Rhinolophus ferrumequinum: one gene and its partner. The protein of the gene in region 2 interacts with the protein of the main gene of each other region in a pairwise test. Links are inferred from orthologs where the notes say so. Each region holds a gene or a part of one and is shown on either strand. Other genes may lie near its edges.

What was found.
Region 1: the proteins of YAE1 (region 2) and LTO1 interact in binary tests that used the Homo sapiens proteins (3 or more experiments, as listed by UniProt). The link is inferred for Rhinolophus ferrumequinum from reciprocal best matches to the Homo sapiens genes YAE1 and LTO1.

What each region holds. Positions count from the first base shown.
Region 1 is NC_046294.1:3,471,897-3,479,535, forward strand, and holds the start of LTO1 (protein LTO1 homolog), read left to right. Parts: upstream 1-4,285; 5' UTR 4,286-4,402; coding exon 4,403-4,452; intron 4,453-5,701; coding exon 5,702-5,807; intron 5,808-6,825; coding exon 6,826-6,896; intron 6,897-7,639. UniProt on the Homo sapiens protein: The complex LTO1:YAE1 functions as a target specific adapter that probably recruits apo-ABCE1 to the cytosolic iron-sulfur protein assembly (CIA) complex machinery. May be required for biogenesis of the large ribosomal subunit and initiation of translation.
Region 2 is NC_046303.1:53,279,396-53,287,306, reverse strand, and holds the start of YAE1 (protein YAE1 homolog), read right to left. Parts: upstream 3,400-7,911; 5' UTR 3,336-3,399; coding exon 3,207-3,335; intron 1,823-3,206; coding exon 1,701-1,822; intron 107-1,700; coding exon 1-106. UniProt on the Homo sapiens protein: The complex LTO1:YAE1 functions as a target specific adapter that probably recruits apo-ABCE1 to the cytosolic iron-sulfur protein assembly (CIA) complex machinery. May be required for biogenesis of the large ribosomal subunit and initiation of translation.

The DNA.
Region 1 (7,639 bases), on a different chromosome or scaffold from region 2:
TGGTTTGGTTAGTTTTGGAGGCTGCCTGCTATTTTGCTGCAGATACATTAAATAAAAAAAAAAAAATCAATTCCAATAAGCAAACACTTTTCAATAAACTTTGATGAATTTTGTTTTTCACGTTAGTTGTAGCAACTTGGTTCTCCTCGAATTTGACCAAGAAAATGTGAAACAAGTCTATTTTTTTAAAAAAGGCATTTCTGAGATACTCTTTTTATTTTTAAAATGAATTTTTTGGGGGGAAGATTGGGGAACAGTGTGTTTCTCCAGGGCCCATCAGCTCCAAGTCGTTGTCCTTCAATCTAGTTGTGGAGGGCGCAGCTCACTGGCCCATGTGGGAATCGAACCAGCAACCCTGTTGTTCAGAGCTCATGCTCTAACCAACTGAGCCATCGGTCCACCACAAAATAAGTATATTTTTAAAACTGTGTTTTATTTCTTAACATAGTGAATCCCTGAAAGGTGATTATATCTTACCCTTTATACCTTTTGTGATAAATTAAATGTTTAGTAATAGTGTTTTGAAACTACTGGAATACATACAATCAAGGCAGCTTTCAGAGAAACTAAAAATTGAAGCTTAGAAAGCTCTACAGTATCTTTCAAAACCCTTTTAGATAGTTTTCATTGTATCCATACAAATTTATCGTTTCTTATTCCATTTAATTAAGTGGAAAAATTTCAGTTTATAGGATATACACAAGCAAAAATCACAACTCTTTTCTTAAAAATTGACATAACAAGGAGAGATATTAATTCAGTTTTTTGCTACCTACTTTTTATGAGTTTAGTTGCTAAAATGACACCAAATTTGAAACGTATATAAGGATTTTGAAATAAACATTTGCACTTTAAATCTCCGCCTTTTCTACATTCAGGGTCCTATTTTTAAAATCTGGTCTTTATTTGAAAATGAAGCAATTTGTGAATGCAATATCGAAAAATCCAAGATAACGTAATCAGACTTTTTTACCTTTTAGATTAAGAAAATCTGGGTTCAAATCAGTACGTAAGGAACTCAATCAAGGAACCAATGGGGTGGGTGGGGAGAGTCTCTTCAAAGTTTTATTTTCAAACTAATAGTTTGAATCAATAGTGTTGATTTTTGTAAATCTTTCAAAGTTTGCACAATTTAAAACAATTTGAAATTAAAGACTTGTGGACATCTGTATAAGTTTTCATGTCCATAAGTTTTATCCCATAATTGGTCTTTTTTTCCCCTCACCACATATCTGTTTTCCTGTGCCCAAAGAAAATGCAGTATAAAATATACAAAATGCACAATAAAATATTTTCTTGTCTTTTCTTTCAGCTGATAAAATTTATGATAAAAAATGTAATATACATAGTCACTGTTTTTACATATATATGTAAAAGAAGAGTTCTCTTATTAGGGACATGTTTGTAATATAATATTAAGTGGGCAGGGGGAAGGACATAAAATTTTACATATATTAAGATTATTTTCATGCGAAAATTCAAAGGAAAACAATGTAACAAAATTAGCTAAAATTAATCGGTGGCTAGAGTAGTGAGAGAGCAAATTTGTTTGCTTGCTTGTTTTGCTCTTTTTCCAACATTCCAAATTTTTGTGTTTTCGTTTGCTTATGAAAAAAATAAACTAAAAAGGAAAAGACATTTTAAGAACACAATAATACACAATCTGTTTAATTTCATCTTCCAGAAATGTTTTTTATTGGGCTTTTTATGCTGACCTGAGAAACTCATGTTCACTGTGCAAACATGGAATATTCAGAAAAATATAAAAGACAAAAGTTTACGTTCCTGTAATTTTAAAATCTAGGTATAGTCACCGTTAACATGGTGTACTTACTTTCATTCTTTTTAAAAGCATAATTATTTGGTGTAATTGGAACTGGAGTACAGGTAGATTTTTTTTTGTGTTTTTTTCATTCCCTAAACATCAGGAGCATTTTCATTTTCCATGACATTCCTTTTGTTTCAAACATTATTTTTGGCTGTTGCTGACGAGTCTTTGCTGTGAGGATCCTACCATATAGATGTCACCGTTTCACCATTTTGTCACTGTAAGTTGCTTTCTCCTTCTGGCTTTTCCAGATCACACTGCATTGAACATCATTGTACAATTATCACTTTTCTCTGATTATTTTTCAGAGACGAAGTATTAGAAGTGAAATTACTAGGTCAAAATTGAAAACCATTTAAAATACTTTCCTGTCTTTCTACATTACCTGACTAAAAAGTAGTTTTAATTTATGCATCTGTGGGCAATGACAGTATCTTACCATTCTAAAAAAATTTTCTTTTGAACTATTTTAAAAGGTAAAAACTGTATCTCATTGTTCTTTCACTTAGTACTCCTAAGATTACAAGTAAGGCTGTCTTTTTCTTTTGCCAGCCAGGCTTGATCTCTTCTGGGAATTATGTATTCAAATCCTGGCCCATTTTTTTTCTATTTCAATTAAGTTCTTTATAAACCCGAAATAGTATTCCTTTGGTTATAATACTTATGATAAATAAATACCCAGGTTATTCTTTGGTTTTTAATTTTATTACCACAGTTGGTATGTACAAGTTTGTATTTTTGTGTAGTAAAATACACAGGTTTTCCCTTTGTGATTCCCTCCATGGCTTTTCATGTATTAAAAATGCTTTCCCATACTCACCAGAATTATCAAATGTCCTTTAAAAATATATATATAAATATATATCTTTAAATTGTCTGGAACTATTTTAATGAATGGTATGAGATATAAATGGAACTTGACTTTCCCCAAAAGCCAATTTTTCCATTATAGTGACTGATTAAAATATCCTTCCCCCATTAATTTGTGGTTCTTATTGTGTGAGATTTTACGTCTACTAGAATCCCCTTTCAGGCCATTCTACTATATTTCATTCATCTGTCTCTTCTTGAACCAACATGTCACAATATTTTTATTGAAACTTTATCATTTCATATCTGGTAAGTTCTCCATATCATTCTTTTTCAAAAACATCTTAGTTATTCGTATTCATCCAGATGAAATATAGAATTTTGACACATTTCCCCCAGATGCCATAGAATTTTGTTCCTATCCAGGGTCATTCCTAGCCTGCAGCTTTCTTCATATGGATCCTGCTCAAATCTTCTTATTCCTAAGCAATTTATTGTGACTATGGTAAAGAGGATTTCCCCAGTCCTCCCTGCTCAAGCCATGACTATTGTCACAATAACAGAAAGCAAGTGCTTTTTTTTTTTTTTTTCCCCTGAACTCTGTCCAGTTCTGAGAATGTCTCATTTTTTTAAAGTGTATTTTAAGGAGAATACTTCTGGTACTTCATGTCTATGTTCCATTGTCACTGAGTTAGAGGCACCTTCTTAAAAGTGTACTCTCACGGAAAGGACAAATGGGAGAACTAGGGCTAGGTACTACTTACACAAAAGGGGGAGCATGCCTCCTGCTGGAGTGGGGGCACCGGTTGCTCTTAATTCCAAACCCTCTGTACTATTGGATTCTTGACTTTGCATGAATTATGAATCACCTGCTTTTGCTTTAAAAACAAATAAGAGCAAGAAAAAAACCACACACACACACACACACACACACCCCTTTTATTTCAGGCTTTCCAATAACTCTTAAGATTTCAAGAGGGGGTGCCAACATTTATTGTTGCCATTCCCGGCGAGTGTTAAGACGGCGAGGCTGCTTCCCTGTCACCTGCTGCCGTTGCCGATTCTCGAGGGTCCAGTCAGCTTGCGTTTCCTGAACCACGGCCCGCAGTCCCTGGATTACTGTTAACGTGGACTTGGTGGCATTTTAGGCTGCGGTCGGGAGCCTAACGTCGTCCTAGAAGGTGGCCCTTGGCTGTGGGTCGGGGTCAGCGAGCGCGGGGGGACGGGCCCGTCCCCCCTCCTCTGTGTCCTGTCGCCACCCCAGGAATTGCCCTTCCTGGCCATTTTCCACCCCAAATCCCACGGGCGGGCAGCCTCCTGGCCCCGAGCCTCCCGAGGCATTTGTTCTTTGATAGCTTTTCCAGTTTCTTCCCTGGTTCTTTCTGAGCCGCTTTTGGCCATTCGGTTCCATCTGCTCGGTTTTGTAAAACTGAAAACATGGGTCACACCCCCTCCCGCTGCCAGGTGGACGCTCCGGGTTGGGACCCACCGGCCTATTGAGGGAGCCGAGGAGGGAGGGGCGGGGGGCGGGGCCGCGTCCCCGCCCAGCTCCGCCCAGCTCCGCCCCCGCGCACGCGTTGCGAGCCCGCGCCGGCGCCTGCTGGACCCTGCCGCGCGCCGTCCTTACCCGGCCTGCCCCGCGCAGCCGCCGCCGGAAGTGAGTTTCGCCTCTTCGGAAGCGGATGGTCCGCTGGAACCTCGCGGGTCGGCGGCGGCAGCGGCGTGTGGCGGAGCTCCGGGCCAGAGGCGGGCCGACCTGCCGCCATGGCCGGGGATCAGGACCCGTTCGACGCCATCGTGATGGCGGATGACAGGTGAGTGGCAGCCTTCGCTGGGACGGGGACCCCCGCCCCGTCAGGTGAGCTCTGGAGCTGCTGGGCTGCGGGCTGCGGCGGCCGCTCGGGCCTGGTGTCCCGGGCGTGGGGGCCTTGCAGGGGCGCTCTGGGGTCCTGGGAGTGGCGGACACGGGTGGGGCCGAGATGCTCTGGATCCTTCTTTACTCGTCGGCCGCTGGGGCGGGCGCCCGGTGCCCAGCTGCTCCTGCAGACCCGCCTCCGCGGTCGGGCTGCCCCAAGCATCTGCTCGGCCTCCTGACTGCCTTCCTCCAGGGACGCCCCGTCTTCGCGTGCGACAGACCTTTGCCATCTGGGCCCTGCCCCCTTTCCTTGTTCCTTAATGGTAGGACATACGGCGGCATTCATGGCCACGCTGATGAATGTGTGCGACGTCCTCCCTGCCCCTGCGGAGCCCCCGGGGAGCGCGGGGGCTGTGACGCGGGGGCGCTGGCAGTCGCCGTGTGCCTGCCTGTCTGAGCCGGCAGTGGTGTCGGGAAAGCGGACGTGCACCCGTCAGTGGCCGACGTTTGTGTTGTGAATCTGGTACCTTACGTGTTGTACTTTGGTACCTGTTTCAGTCGCCCAGATGAGGCAGGTCACGCAACCAGCAGGCGGGAACTCCTGTCCTTTTTGGTGACTGCAGGTTCAGGCGGTGCCACTTGCCCCCGTTGAGCCCCCAGAGTCAGAGACTTGATTACGCTCCAGGCACCACAGCCCTCGTCCAGGTTGTGGTGCCCTGATGGCATTTCTCTCTGCGCGTCTACTGAGATGTGATGGAAAGCCCTCCATGGATTGCGGGTTTTTTGAAGCAGTTGGTCCCGTCTGGTATCTTACAGACTCCCTGGACTTTGTGCCACCCGGGCTGCACAGCAGGGTCCCCTGGGAAGTTTCGAAAAGTAGATTCCTGGGCCTTAGTTCAGACTTACGCAATGTCTTCGAAGTTTCCCTGTGTGTTTCTGGGGTCCCTCCAGGTTTGGGAGTCCCGAAGTAGCTCGCCCCCCTCATTGGTGAAGAGGCTTCAAGAGATAGGGCGCCTCCCCCCGGAGGAGACTTAGGGAGGGGTAGAGCTGGGAAGGGAGCCGGAATGTTCTGTCTTACGTTTTCTGCTTTTTCTGCTGTGCTGTGCCTTGTCTCGCTGGGTTTGGGTAACGGGGGGGAGCAAAGTCTTCCCGGGAAGAAGACTCTCTCTCCTCTTTATGTGCTCAAGCGTGCTGCTTCTCTGTCCCAGGTTTCACGGGGAAGGGTACCAGGAAGGCTATGAAGAAGGCAGCAGCTTGGGTATCATTGAGGGAAGACAACATGGCACATTGCACGGCGCTAAAATCGGATCTGAGGTGAGTGGGAACCCCTGCGTTGAAACGAATCCTTTTCATGTGCCGTTTATAATTTACTCTGATGGTCGGGATGAGGGAGCCAGAGCGTCAGGCCTTTTAAAATGGCAAGAGACTAGGCAGAATGTTGATGGAGAAATGCGCTTGGTACGGAACTGTATCGAGAGAATGACGTGCGGGTTGGAGAATGACAAAACCCATCCTCGTTCACCTCAGTTTACCTGAATGTCGTGGTGCTGCCTCGGGTCTTAAGCCAGCTGAATCCTCACCCAGAGAATGTCATGTGAAAACATTCCATTTTCATTTACGCCAAAATTCCGTAAAATCTATGATTTGCCTTCTCCTCGGCCCAGTGCCCTCGAGTGGCCCTCACGGACAGCTGGCACTAAATGAAAAGTCTGAGGCAGTCATGACTATATTACATGTCTGTTGCTGCAAAACGAATGGCCACGAAACATGTGGGCTTAAGCCAGCCACCGTTTATTATCCCCCTGGCTCCTGCCGGTCAGGGGTCTGGGAGCAGCGGAGCTGGCTGGCTCTGGCTCCGGGTCTCCTGATGATGGAGCCAGGGCTGCAGGCGTGTGAAGGCTTGACGGGGCTGGAAGAGCCCCTTGTGTGGTGCCGCACACAGCGATTGTTCTCGCCCTGTGGACCTCTCCACGGGGCTGCTTCAGTGCCCTCGTGACACTTGAGCCAGTGATGAAGGCAGAAGTGACCTTGTCTGTGATGCTTAGCCTCAGAAGTCACGTGCTCCCTCTTCCTGAGTTCTATTGGTTACACTGTCCACTCTGGTACCATCAGAGGGGCTGCCCAAGGACATGGTCTGTGGGACCCCCTTGGAGGCTGGCTACCCCACTGATGACCTAATTTCTGTTGCCTGATGCTCAACACATACTTCTAGAACAACAATGTAAGACACCACTGCCCTCCTCCCCACCTATTGTTTTGAGAGTAGGATAATTAGACCAAGGGTAGCTAGTTACTTATTCATTTCTCACTTAAATGTTTTTTAAATTTACAGATCGGGTGCTACCAAGGTTTTGCTTTTGCTTGGAGGTGTCTCCTGCACGGTCGGGCCACTGAGAAAGACAGGTAAAGTTTGAGACTTCTTTTTTTTTCAGTGTGTGGACCAGGAGTTCTAGTTCCATTAGCTTGCTGTGACCTTGAGCAGTTAATGTCTCGGTGTCCTCATCTGGAAAATGGAGAAAATCATCATACCAAACTTGAATGTTGTTATGAGATTCACAGGAAATAGTACAGTAGTCTCCCTTATCTGTGCTTTCAGTCAACTGGGGTCTGAAACTATTACATGGAAAATTCCAGACATAAACAGTTCATAAGTGTTAAATTGGGCACCATTGTGAACAGCGTGAGGAAGTCTCGCGCCGTCCTGCTCCTGTGTGCCCAGGACGTGCATCGCACGGTGTCCAGCGTTTCCACGCCGCAGACTCTCCCGCCCGCTAGTCACTCAGTAGCCACCTTGGGGACCAGCTCAGAATTGCAGGGCTTGTGTTCACGTCACCCTCATGTTACTTAATGGCCACAGAGCGCAGGAGTCGTGATGTCGGCCACTCGGGCATGCTGGAGAGAAGCCATAAAGGGCTTCCTTTAAAACAGTATGTAAGGGTTCGGTGCTGTCCATGGGGTCTTAGAATGTACCCCTGCAGATAAGGGGGGCCTGTAACCAGGGAGTGCCAGGCATGTTTTCAGTGTTGGATGAACACTGGTCGTTACTACTTTGCGAGTTCTCAGGTCCCCCTGGCTTTCTCCTGGTGCCATTAGAGCACCAGGTGGCTTTTAGATAGACTGCCGTTAGCAATGTTGAAATTGATATC
Region 2 (7,911 bases):
TTTGAGAACACACTCTTCACACTGGCCAACTGCATCCAGAAGATTATTTATTTTACCGATCAAAGTCGAACTGTTATCATGAAGGTGACACCAGGAGAGCAAAGCACTGAATGAAAATATAAACAAGAGTTAAATAGGAAAAAAATGAAATAATCACAGGCTTTTAGATTTTTTGATACTAAGCCCTATATGTTTCTTTTCTAGATAACAGCATGCAAAACTGAATTAATAATAATGCAAGTCAAAATCAGGAAAGTAACAATGGTAAAAACAGGATTTAAATATATATATATAAGGATATTATCTTTCAATAGAAATTAAACAATTGGACTCAATCACATAAACTGTTTATAATTCATAACCCCTCCTTCACATCTACTTTTCCTCATTTTAGATTTTCCCGTTTATGACTGTGTAGCTCCTGCTGATAAGGGATACAACTTAGAGAAAGATACACCAGTTTCCCCTTTAAGGATATCAAACAACTTCTAAACTAGTGAGTCTCAATCTTGGATGCACATTAGAATCATCCGGGGAGCTTTTAAAACTATCAAGGTCCGAGTCACACCCCAGACCAATGAAATCAGAATCTCTAGAGGTATTATTTTTTAAAACGTCCTAGCTAATATCAAGGTGCAGCCAAGGTTGAAAGCCATTGTTCTAATCACATACAGCATTTGCTTGCCATTAAAACTGAAGCTTAGAAAAAAAATTTTGAGGCAACTTCACTTTCCCAACTTTGTTACAAACAGACTGTTTGCTGAGCTAACCATTTTCTTGAAGAAGGTTGGAATTCTTCTAGTCCTAATAAATATTTTTCTTTACTTTTCTAGTACAGACAGCACTTTTGATTTTTGGTATTTTAGATTGTTCAGATAACCATGACATAAAATGGTTGTTAAAAATAATGATGTTTTAAAAATGGAATCAATTGATATAAAGATTTAGCGATAAACTTTCTAAGATTATAAAAGATTAACTTGATGTGAAGATGAACACTTGATCATTTTCCTACTGTAGTAAACTACAAATTCTGATTCCTGAGCATTGAATTTTCTAAAACCTTAAACAGTCATTAGTTTTTTTGTTTTGATGATTTTTATTTTTTACCCTTTCACAAACCATAATTCCTTGCAGCATCTTCTCTATCAAGGTCGGTTTAAAAGGTGTAATGTATCAAAGAGGACAACCCTGTCACGCTTCTCGCTCCATATGCCATTATTACTATGGGGTCTTGACAGGTGTTCAATGTTCAGGACTAAGGGAAATGGTATCATTTTTCTCTATATACCAGCCGTAATTTTTGTCATGTACTTCTAGTCTAGAAGTCTGTAATACTGCGTTCTGTCACATGTGCAAGACTAAAAGCTTTATTCAAAACCTGAAAATCTTTTAAATTACTTTGATATATAGATTGGTGGTAGTTCAGGTTGCAAAAAATACACACCTTTCTATCATTGCTTTGCCATAAAGGACAACACCTGGATCACTTATTAAAGTGGATAAACCCACAATTTTGACTTTTTGAAGGCATTATCATTCTATGTTCTGTAGCACTCGTGTGGATTTAACACTAGGAAAAGCATTTTAACACTTTATTTTTACACATTACTTTTATAAAAATCCTCCAGTAGTACTGAGGTTAAAATGATTCAGCATTTAAGTTTAAGGTAAGTTAAAGGCAAGTTTTAAAAAATTACCTCAAAGTTCCTCTGAGTTGTCCATAGTTTATAATGACTTCTGCACCTTCTTTATAACCTTGATTGAAGCCTTGTTGCAGAGTAACTGCTTTGCCAGCCTCTAGTCCATCTCTATAACCTTCCTAAAAATAAGTAATGAAGAATTGCAGCTGTAACTAACATCAAGTGAACAACTGTAGATTTCCCCTGAAAGTCATAGAACCAATTTAGAAAATTGATGAAATAAGACTTTCCTGTGTATATTTAACATAAGGTTCTATAACATATGGCACAGCCACACAAAGTAGGCTATGCTCATAAAAACGTATTATTGGTTTATCTCGTTTTTGAAGTCTAGACTTATTTGCTACACTTTAAAAAGTACTAATTCTTATACAGTTTTTAAAAAATCCTGTGTTAGCAATGGCATCACAGAAAAGATACACAGAAAGAAGAATTATGTGTCTGGCCCCTTGGCAACTGATAGGATTGGTGTGGGAGGGTGAGGAGGCTGAGCAGTAAGTAGAGTTATTGAAAGTCTTGAATAATTAACTGGAGTAGAGGAAGAGGAAACTGGTTTAGCAAAAGGAAAAAGACAAGTCTGGTTTTAGAAATTTTGCTTGATACCTAAATTCAATCAAAGTACAAATTTTCTGTGGGCAGGGGTTTTGTCCTGCACCTCCTCTGGTGCCACAGCACTCAAAAGATGCTCAATAACAGATGTCCCCGCCTCATATAAAGTATTCCTGAAACTGACAACATGGTTGTTGGGCTAAACAAATACTATTTTAGTGAAACATTAAACAAAAGCAGATTTACGGGCAATTTAATTAATTGTTGGCAAGGATATTAAGTAGAAGTGGACCTCACTATTTGGTCCTGACTCTGGAATGCTCCACCTAGAAATTGGGTGTGTGGTATTGAGCTCAGTCTTATTGAATAGTTAGACAAATTAGAAATGGACAAATCACACCTAAGAAATAAAAAAAGAAATTAACTTTAATATTTCCTCACTTAGCCACCGGTATTCCGTATTAACTTTCCCTCATTGCCCTTCGACAACATTCTTATGTTCACTTTTTCCGTACAGATTAATACCGGCTCTAACTTTCGGCTCCTCATCCATTCGAGCAACCCGTGTAAACTGTGTACATATCCTCTGACAGCCATAATTAGTACAGTCAGTTTATATATTATACACTTCTCCTCCACCCCCTTTCTCTGTGGTCCTCATTAAACTGTAATCTGTTCAACGTTTAGATAGTTTATTTTGGTCGGACCCAGCGTCTAACGCACCCCACAGACCATCGCGGAACGCTCCCTGTGGTTTCACACGCTTTCAAGTAACCCCTTGGGAAATCCTAGCAGGACGCGGGCGGACCGTGTAAGCGGTAGGAAGGGCAGCGCCTGGCCGGGCCGGGACCACTCTGGCCTCTAATGTCCGGAACCAGCTTCTTCACAACTTCGCGCCCCTCTCCCCACGACCCAGCAGATCAAGGGATCCCCGCGCCCTCCACACAGTTTTACTTTGACGCGTCTCTGCATGTGGCTCCGCCATTCCCGCTGCACCAGGAGCGACTCGTCCGCTTCCTCATCAAACACTTCGCCCTGTTCTCCTTGATCGCCCACGAAAGTTGCGGCTTGAACCCACGACATCACCGAGGCAACCACAAGGCCGCTGAGCGCAGGAAACGCCCGCAACTCCTTCCGGTCTGAGGGGCGGGGCGACGTCTGCGAGTCGGGCTCGCGGGGCGGCTGCGCGTGCGCGTGCGCGTGCGCGACGGGGGCGGTCTCCGGTGGGTCCGGCGTGCCGCCCGCGCTTTCCGCTCCCTGGTGGTGTCAGCCTCCCTCGGTTGACTCAAAATGTTGGCGGATTCCTGTGGTGGGCGAGGCGGATTCTTTCCTCGCTGGGCCCGCCGACCTTGACCTCTGCGGGTCAAGACAGCCTGAACCCTTTGCGAACACTTCATTTTTCCTAGGGTCTCCCCAGTAAACTGGGTTTTGGAGTCGTGCGCGTTTGTGAAACCATTCAATGTAGTTCAGTTGATGGGCTATTACTAGGCAAAGACTCTGGTGTCTTTTAGAATCTCCCTCTGTGCATTTAAGGGATTTGACAGCCTGACGTTTTAATTATTAGGAGCGTGGAGCAAAGGAAAATAGAATCGAAAAGTTAGACACAGCGGCCATTTTGAATTCAATAAATGTAGAGTACACTTATGAAACTGAAATATTTCTCATTGATTCACAGCATCCTTCACTGGTTTCCTAAAAGTAGACTATTGGCTCGGTGAGGGCGGAGACTTGTTTACAATATACTCAACACCAGTAAGGTTCTGACTCTAGTAAATGCTGGAACAGATGCTAGTGAATGAATGACTCCAGTAGTATTCCTGATTCGCCTTTTTCTGCATGGTAATGATTTATTTATCTAGCAAATTTCTTTGACTACCTGCCGTGTGCCAGGCAACGTAGGCTTTTGGGATCCATCAGTGAATGATACAGACAAAATTTCCAAACTCTTGTGGACTTTACATTCTTGTAAAATTGACGGTAGATTAACAATAAGCACTATATAAGTAAATTATATAGTTTGTTATAAGATCATGAATGATATATGCTGTGAAAAAAAGTAAGGGGAACCATTGTAAGGGTGATGGAATACTTTTAAGGATTTAGCAATCTAGCTTGGTTTACTCAATTATAGTTTGATTTACTTTATTTTGTAGTTTATTATTATTTTTTTGTCTTCTTTGTTTCTCTCCCTCACTGCCCCATATAACTGTTTCCCAAGGCTACATGCATACCTTGTTCATCTAGTTAATCAGCAGAACACTAACTTGCAAGAAACTGAGTCAGCCTTCAGCCATCCCGACACCAGCAACCAGGTTGAGATTCCAGACTGTGATTTTCTGTCAGATGATATATGAATCACCCCTAAGACCAGGTTTGAGATAACCGAGGGGGAATAAAACAGACCCCAGGAGTCGTCCTCCCAGAGGAGTCACATGACTAACTCCCCCTTTCCTTTGTTCTCCTTCTTGTGTACCTACATAACCTTCTGACTGTTCTAGGAACAGAAAGGTGGCCTTTGAGACCGTAGTCTGCCATCATCTCAAAATGCTGGCATTTTGAATAAGCCTACTTTTCTATTCACAAACCCTTGTCTCTCAATCTTGGGCATAGGAGCAGTGAGCAGCTGAAACTTAGCTCAGTAGCACCATGAATATGTGAATGAAGGTGGGTGGGTGGTGCAGGTTATAAATTTAAATGTTCAGAGAGTATTTGGTAGATCCATGGAATGTGTATAAAAACATTCCATACTTGACCACAAAAAATACCTTGATAAACTTAAAAGAATAGGGATTTTACAGGTCATATTCTCCGATCATAATCCAACAGAATCAGTAATAAATAATAAAAATAACCCCAATAATTTAAACTGTAATATTGGACATTTGAAACACTCTCCTAAATAACATTTGGATCAAAAAGGAAATAAAAATTAAAATGACGTACAATAATCAAGTAAAATCAGAATACGTCCAAAAAATGTGGGACTAGAGGAAAGCTGCTTTCAGGGGCCCTTCCATAGGCTTAAATGTCTTTATTATTAAAGAAGAAAAAAAATACATAAACTTACTGTGTATCTTAATTAGAAACAAAATGGTAGTATGGGGAAGCAGTAAAAATAACAACTGAAGTTATAAAATAGAAAGCTCCAAAACTTGCATAAATAAGTCCAAAAGCTGATTCTTTGAAAACACCAATAAAATAGATAATCCTCTCTTGATCCTGATTAAAAAAAAAATTATACAAGATAGACATGAGAAAGGAAGTAATGATGCAGAAGGAAATTCAAATATTACAAATTACTAACTGAAACTAAAAAAAAAACACATTTGAAAACCTAGGAGATATGAATGACCTCCTAATAAAACTGACCCAACAAGTAGGAAACATGAAGAGACAAATTATAATATCGTGTTTCCCCAAAAATAAGACCTAACCGGAAAATAAGCCCTAGCATGATTTTTAAGGATGACATGCCTTGAACATAAGCCCTAATGCGTCTTTTGGAGCAAAAATTAATATAAGACCTGGTCTTATTTTCGGGGAAACATGGTAGAAAAATTGGAGATTAAATATCTATAAAAATAAGATGGAGACTTGATAATTTTATAGTTAAATCCTTTTAAAAGAACAAAATATTAAAAAAAATATAGTTACATTCTAAAGCAAAGAAAAAGATGGTAATTCCCTAAATCATTCCATGAAGCCAGCCTCACTGTCACTTGATAAAGTTAGTATCAAAAAAACCCCAACGTTCAAGTTAGCTTATGAATATGTATTCAAAAGAGAATCTAGTACCTTATCAAAAGAATAATTCAAGAGGTTTTAGTCAAGGAAAGTAAACTGTGGCAATATTAGGAAATGTATAAGCATATTTCATTGCTTCAGCACTTTTATTTTTTTCTCTCCCCTTCTTCTGCCTCCCACACTCCCACTCCAGTTCAAGCCATTGTTTCTCAGTCTAGTTGTGTAGGACACAGTTCCCTGGCCCATGCTGGTTATTATGAGCCTTACGCTCACCCCGGGCTGAGGCATTCGTAGGCTGCCAGCCGCTCATGTTGGCCACCGGCTGTTCCTGGCAGCTGTACAGCAGCTCAATGCAGCCCTGCTCCAAGGAGAGCTGTGGTTCACAATCTTAGCTGTAGAGGGCGCACCTTACTGGCCCATGTTTGAATCAAACCAGCGACCACAGCGTTAGGAGCATGGGGCTCCAACCACCTGAGCCACTCAGCTAGCCCTGCTTACCAGTTTAAAGGAGAAAAGCCATATGTTATTTGATAAATGCTGAAAAGTTACTTGACAAAATTTAAAAATCACCCTTAACACAATAAAATAGAAACTAGAAATTTACACTTTATGAAAAATCCAACAGCGAGTAGTATTCTAAACAATCAGATGTTGAGATATTTCCTTTAGAGAAAAGAGAGGACACCTGATGATCACCATTATTATTTGACATTCTTTTGGAGACTAGTGAATGCAATAAGAGAGGTAAAATAATCTATATAAATGTTAGTTAGTAAGAGATGAAGTTATTCTTTTTGCTGTTTATAGATCATGTGCCTAGAGAACCCAAAGGGCTTCAGATAAAAATAGAATAAGAGACTGTGATAAAGTCTTTGGGTATAAAAAAGTAGACCAATAGCCTCTTTATTTTCTAGCAATAACCATCTAGAAATGTAAATGAGATCAATATTCCACTTGCAATATCAAGAAATACTGTTAGATATAGTATTTACATATTTGTTTAGTATCCTGTATTTATTAATATAGCATGTATAAATGTCAAGAATATAGTTTAAAAAATCAACTCTATTGAGGTATATACATGCAGTAGTATACATATATTTTGAGTGTACAGTTTTGATGTGTTTTGACAAATATATACATCAGTGTAACCACCACCCAATCAAGATATAGACATTTCCATCACCCTAGAAATTTCCCTCATACTTCCTTGCAGTCAATTCCTCACCCCCTGAGGCAACACCCATCCAATTTCTATCATTCAGGATTAGTTTTGCCAGTTTTAGAACTTCACAGAAATGAAATCCTATCTGTCTTTTTGGTTCCTTTGACTCAACATAATGTTTTTGAGATTCGTTCATGTGGTTGCACGCACTAGTAGGTTGTTCTTGATACTTGCTAAGTACTCTTCATTGTACAGACGTACCATAATGTATTCATTCACTTGTGGACATTTGGATTTTTTCCAGTTTTGGGCTATTTTGAATAAAGCTGCTATGAACATTCCTATGAACAAGTCATTTTGTGTACACATGTTTTTATTTCTCTTGGGTAATATGTAGAAGTGGAATTGTTGGGTCAGATGGTCAGTAAAAATGTATAGGAAACTGCCAAATTGTTTTCCAAAGTGGTATTACACTCCCACAAGAATGTATGGGAGTGCCAGTTGCTCCACATCCTCTTCCTTACTTGGAATTGTCGGTCTTTTTAACATCAGCCATTCTGATAGATATGTAGTGCCATCTCACTGTGTTTTAATTTTTGTTTTCCAGATGACATGATGTTGAACATGTTTTCCTGTACTTATTTTCCATTTGCCTATCTTTTTAATGAAGTCTTTGCCCATTTAAAAAAATTGGGTTGTCTCATTGCATTTTATTTTATTTATTTATTTCTGTTTTGCAGGAAAGCAAAA